2 linked regions of the Bombyx mori genome follow. The protein of the gene in region 2 interacts with the protein of the main gene of each other region in a pairwise test. Links are inferred from orthologs where the notes say so. Each region holds a gene or a part of one and is shown on either strand. Other genes may lie near its edges.

The links.
Region 1: the proteins of calcium-activated potassium channel slowpoke (region 2) and cAMP-dependent protein kinase C1 interact in binary tests that used the Drosophila melanogaster proteins (3 or more experiments, as listed by UniProt). The link is inferred for Bombyx mori from reciprocal best matches to the Drosophila melanogaster genes slo and Pka-C1.

What each region holds. Positions count from the first base shown.
Region 1 is NC_085129.1:12,556,024-12,558,976, forward strand, and holds cAMP-dependent protein kinase C1, read right to left. Parts: upstream 1,582-2,953; coding exon 520-1,581; downstream 1-519. UniProt on the Drosophila melanogaster protein: Serine/threonine-protein kinase involved in memory formation. Promotes long-term memory by phosphorylating meng and by regulating CrebB protein stability and activity.
Region 2 is NC_085115.1:13,429,924-13,433,442, reverse strand, and holds part of calcium-activated potassium channel slowpoke, read left to right. Parts: intron 1-6; coding exon 7-119; intron 120-1,847; coding exon 1,848-2,003; intron 2,004-2,455; coding exon 2,456-2,532; intron 2,533-3,519. UniProt on the Drosophila melanogaster protein: Potassium channel activated by both membrane depolarization or increase in cytosolic Ca(2+) that mediates export of K(+). Its activation dampens the excitatory events that elevate the cytosolic Ca(2+) concentration and/or depolarize the cell membrane.

The DNA.
Region 1 (2,953 bases), on a different chromosome or scaffold from region 2:
GATATTCTGTTATGAAATAAATATAAATATATACATATATTTTTCAATTAATACACTACTTACAAAGTTTAAATGTTGATTTTATAAAAACATAAAAAACAATGTAATGCTGCTCACCTCCAGCACCACACCACAAAATGACAATAACTACTGAAATAATGAACTAGGTAGTGCTTGGTGTAATGCTCAGACTAGGTGTCAGAGTAATCATGCAGGGACATCACCACAGCAAGGATAACTTTAACTCTCACTACCAACTCTATGTTAGTCAACTTGAAAGGGCACTAAGCAAATGAACGCCACCGAAATATCGGAAATCACTTCTACTATCATTGCACCTACACTCCACTTTATCTGCACAGTGTGCTAACTCGGGTTCGCTTCAGCGTCTATAAACTCCCAATGCCACTTGTTTCTAGATAAATCAGCTCTTATTCCACGAACTCTCTTTCACGGAAGATTCACTGTAACAAAACACCTACTCACGGGAGTGTCCGCTCGCAGGCACCAGCTATGTGCTCAGAACTCTGCAAATTCCTTTGCACACTTTTCAGTGGAAGAAATACGAAGAGCTTCTTCTTCATAATCATCAAAATTGCTTGTGTCACCGGGTCCTTTGCAGCGAGGTATGAATGGAGCCTCTATCTTCTTCTGGAAGACGGCAATCCAGTCGGTGGTGGCAAACCATTTATGACCTTTTATATCATTGACACCAGCCTTCAAGTTACCATAGCGTTTGGTCAAATCTACTTGAAGTAGGTTACGAAGCAGATCCTTCAGATCTGAACCAAAATGTGATGGAAATCGTACTTTGCCAGACACAATTTTTTCATAGATCTGAATGGGTTGATCAGCGAAAAAGGGCGGGTAGCCAGCCGCCATCTCATACACGAGCACTCCTAACGCCCACCAATCCACAGCTTTGTTGTATCCCTTGGATAGAATGATTTCAGGTGCAAGATACTCAGGAGTGCCGCACAAAGTCCACGTGCGGCCTTTCACACGTTTAGCGAATCCGAAATCTGTAACTTTTAAGTAACCCTGAGAATCAATTAGCAAGTTTTCAGGTTTCAGATCCCGATAAATAAGGTCCAAATAGTGAAGGTACTCAAATGCTAAGACTATTTGAGCTGCGTAGAATCGCGAATGCGGCTCCGAGAACCGACCCACCTTGCGCAAATGCGAGAACATTTCCCCTCCAGGCACATACTCCAACACCATGTACAAGTTAGAGTTGTCCTTGAAATGGAATTTAAGGCTCACCAAAAACGGAAAGTTGATGGCTTGTAAGATACGTTTCTCGTTTAGAGTGTGCTCCACCTGTTTCAATTTAACCACTTTCTGTTTATCTAATATTTTCATAGCGTAATATTCTTTAGTAGGTTTATGTTGAACTATCATGACTCGTCCAAACGAGCCAGTACCTAGGGTTTTTATCCGTTCGAAATCGTTCAGTCCGGCGGTGTTGGTAGGATTCTTCTTCCATTTCTCCTCGAAGTCCTCTTTGGCCTGGTCGAGGAATTCTTTGACGCTTTCGGCGGCGTCCACCTTTTTATTAGCGGTGGCAGCATTGTTGCCCATGGCTCACACCACAAAGCAGTCCAATGCCCTCGATTCGCCGTTATTAGAGGCCGCTTTACTGCACTAATCGATGCTTGTGGTATGATCGTATAAGAATATGGGCAGGTCAGCACAAACCAATTTTAAGCACGTACATTCTTATTTTTACTAATCACAATTACACGTCACAAAACACTTCCAATATAAAAACACATTGACACGTTTATTTCAAATGCAAAAGTTCTATCAAAGTACTTTCAATTTTGTCACAATCACCAGAAATAAAATGGCTTCCACAGCCGGACTCGATCGACAGAGCGAGATCAAGCGAACGATGTGCTCACGGGAAGCGGTCAATTCACTAATGTTGCCAAAGCAGTTCTTACTCTGCTACTAACTTTTTAAAATTTACCATTTACGAAAACTAATTTAAAATAAATTTAAACATTCACAGTAAACATTAAATATACTTATAAATAATTGTTAAAAAATAATAATGAAAAAGATGTATCAATGTACCCAAACTTTTAATAATAATCACATACCTACATTTCCCTCTAAAAATATCGTTGACGCAGAGATTAGAATTTTATGTACATAAAAATATACTTGAAAATAATTTTGTACTTCGCTGCATTGCTAGTATTACTTTTTTAGGAAAGTGTTTTTTTAAATGCATTTTCACATAGATAATAAATGTGTTTTTTGCTATTCTCACTAATTGCATCGACGTTTCTAAAGGTAACTAGATGATAACCGAGCTTTGCTCGTTTTTTTTTTTTGATAACTCCATCTTGTTGTGTCTTTAAAGCGGTTAGTTGCCCTCAATTAAGAAAAATAGTATTATTATTCGCCAATAGATGTCGGGAAGAGTTGATTATTGAAAACACGAATAAACAACATTTTCTGAAAATAAATCGTAGCTAGATCGATTTATCGCCCCCGAAATCCCCTGTATACTAAATTTTATGAAAATCGTTGGAGCCGTTTCCAAGATTCAGATTATATATATATTTATATACAAGAATTTAAAGGTATAAGATAAAAATAATTCTACTGGAGGATGGTTATCTTTCTGTTGACAATAAAAACTATCACATCCCTCGCTTATCTATCTATAGTAGGTAAGTCAAATCAAGTCAAATCAAACAAAGTACGATTTTGTCATATTTATACTTTCAATAGACGATTTTTGATGGACTTACAAATCTTTGTTTATTTGGCGTAGACATACAAACAAGCTCTTGGCCTACATGTCGCTAATTTATTATCAGACCTCATATACGCTAGAACATCAATGCCAAAATAATAAAAATATGCTTTAATAAGTACCAAAACATGTACGATTAATCTGCTGTCTTGAATTTTTTAAGAATAACTTCGAAAATATCAT
Region 2 (3,519 bases):
TCACAGTCCCAAGACATGGCTATATGGACTAATGACTACATGCGAGGTACCGGGATGGAGATGTACACAGAGACCCTTAGTCCTACGTTTATCGGGATGCCTTTCATTGAAGCAGCCGAGTAAGTGGGCGCTCAGAGACGCAAACATGTCGTACGACAAAGTCACACAACGTTTTTTTTGTTATTCAATACCGTACCAGTGTTTGAGCATACCATACCGCCACGAATGCGGGAAAATCGTCACTAAACGATTCGCAACGCTTCATCATTTGGTGTTCTTTTTTTATTTGTTTGCCCGCTTCATATGTGATTCGAGTCTCAATGTTTTATGTGTAATGGTTTTAGAGGTACTGCACTGAATAATGCCTCGACTGGTATAGAGCGAATAAATAACACCCGTTGGCTTACTAATCGTCTGGTGGAGTGGAAGGGACGACAGTGGCCGCCCGCGTGAGACTAACGAAGCAAAGGCTTTAGCGTCTTCTGTTGGTTGATTGCAGTCCCCCGACACTCAAGCCTGGCAGAACGATTACCTGCAGGGTACCGGATGCGAGATGTACACTGAAACTCTGTCGACCTCCTTCACGGGAATGTCGTTCCCTCAGGCCAGCGAGTAAGCCCCTCCTACCCTGGCCCCGCCTGCACTCGCACCGTAGACACTGTGTGCCGAATCGCTAACCCTTAGCTATTTGAGTGTTAACTAAACTTTGTAGACCTGCATCTCGTTGGCTGAATAAGATAGATAGTAATGGTTATTACCAGGTTTCTGAATATACCTTTTTGCATGAGGGGTCCATGATAGATGGCTGTACTTTTGGTTGGATTCATTTAGATAAACCTTTCGTGAATATTGATCAAGTGCTTCAGTACGTTCTGTCCGATTTATGGTATTGACATTTGTTATTGACAATCAGTATGATTTATAGTGTAATTGGTAATCTCATACGATTCGTTTTTTTTTTTTTTTTTTCGAATTACTTCAGTGCAGTGACGTTTCTTTGGCAAGTACTTCACTGATATTAAAATTACTAACTGCATCAGTGCCCGTTTGCATGATAACGTAAATAGTTCAACTGTCTTTGACTTTTTTTTTTTTTTTTTTTTTTTTCAACTGTCTTTGACCTGCCACACCGCTTTGCGTGTCCAATACTTTATTAATACTACTACTAACGCATTTATAACGTACCTATTCATTTCATCATGTGAATCTATCATACAGACATAGCTACGATTGAATGTCATTGTAATAATTGTAAATAGACATGCTTTAACAAAAACCGACTTCAAATAGAAAAAAAAAGATATTCCAAAACAAATGAATGTACACTAAAAACAATAATCATCGAGATCGGTTGGCGTGATTTTGAGTTATTGAGTTATTCATCTATTTGTCGCCACGTACTTAATGCAAATTTAAGACATATAATAATATGGTTTTCTGATGGATACCATTATCAGAACTGGACTAAATTGTAATGGAACTACACGGGACTACAATTTGTAGGCAGCGGCTTGGCTCTGCCCCAGGCATTGCTGAAGTTCATGGGCGACGGTAACCACTCACCATCAGGTGGGCCGTATGCTCGTCTGCCTACAAGGGCAATAAAAAAAACACGGGAAACGTCAGCTTTCTAATAAAAACAGAATCATCAAAATCGATTCTTCCAGTCAAAAGTTATGAGGTAACAAACATAAAAAACATCCAGTCGAATTGAGAACCTATTCCTTTTTTGAAGTCGGTTAAAAATGCATGGTAACCGCTCTGAATATTAACAACTGTTAATTGAATCTGATTACTTCGTATATTTATTTGTTACTGTTATATGTTAGACTGATGTTTCTTCTCAGGTTATGCTTTACGAAACTCAAGCTTCTTCTATTAGCAATAGAGATCAAGGGAGAAGAGGGAGCCGATAGCAAAATATCGATAAACCCTCGCAACGCGAAAATCCATGCCAATACCCAAGGGTTCTTCATAGCACAGTCGGCTGATGAAGTCAAAAGGTAAGCAAACGTTCGTCGGTTAGAAGTTAATGTTATGCTCTAGCAGTGATGGGCAAACATTTTTAATGGCGGGCCACAAAGCTTAAGAAATTCTAGAGGTGGGCCAGAATTATAGAAAAATGTTTTTTTTTTTCAATAAATAAACTAATACCTGTGACAGAATGCCGAGATAATTAGAATTGGCAAGTTGCATGGCAAGTTGGATGGCAAGTCAATTATGAGATAATGAAAGCTCGAAACACCCCTGACGAATCGGAGCTTTCATTAAAAATTTGAAGATTTTCAATTATAAACGTTAGATTTTTTTTACGCGCCAAAATGCTGACTAGAGTATTTAGGATGGATGGTCTCTCGGCGGGCCGGATTAAATACTTCCGCGGGCCGTACTTTGCCCATCACTGTCTAGAACATTCCGCAAAACGAACGTACATTACGAACATTTCTGCTTCCAGAGCGTGGTTTTATTGTAAGGCCTGCCACGAGGACATCAAAGACGAAACACTCATCAAGAAGTGCAAATGCAAAAACTGTAAGATCACTGTCATGCTTTAATGAATTAACAAACTCTTACTCGTTTCAATAATATAATATAGCAAAAAAATACTCTATAATTGATGCCATTTTATATGAAGAACGCCTCCCGACTAATTCGAACGATTATTAATTCTGTGACATTCTTTCTGGAGAAAAAATTGTAAATTTATAATATTTATTTATTACGTTAATATTATCACGAGCTGTGTCCTTTAATATAAATTATAATCACTTAACACAAAAATTAAATAAATAGATTCAATAATGAACAATGTACAAACACTGTATGTAGGTAAATCGTTTTTGGAACGAAGTTCCTTATGGGACGATACGGAGGGGTACCCTAACCGGGAAAAAACGTCCGTAACGTAAGATTTTTATTATTTATGTATAGTCTTAGTATGATGCCTATACAGTGTCTAATGTATAGTCTACGTGATGACGGTTATTATTATTTTAAAAATTATAATAGAAAATTTAGAATTTTTTTTTTATTTGATTTTTTTTTGTGTTTTCTATTTATGAGATTATTGAGTATAATTAAATCTCGTTTAAAATAACAATATTTAATTTCTCTGACATCAAATGAATTATTTTTATTTTTATCAATAAAAAAATCATAATAATGAATGTAGACCCGAATAATTATTTTCTTTATACCTCGAATAGAACTTAAAATTAATATTTTTATAATAAGGAACTTCGTTCCTATCGGGTGTCCCACGACACCACACATCTTTTTTTTTTCTGGAGGATATTTTGACACAGAATCTCTCTATAACTGACACTGTTTACTTACTGATCGAGACATTAATATGATATATTGTTCGGCCAAACTTTTAGTAACGGCGCACCAGCGGAAGGTTGGAGCCGACATAGGTAACTTGCACAACACCTATAACCTCACAAGTTGACGTTTTCCAATTATTTTTCGTGTATAATCGTTTTGAGTTGCTTTAGTGGTGTTGCGTCGTACCGCACA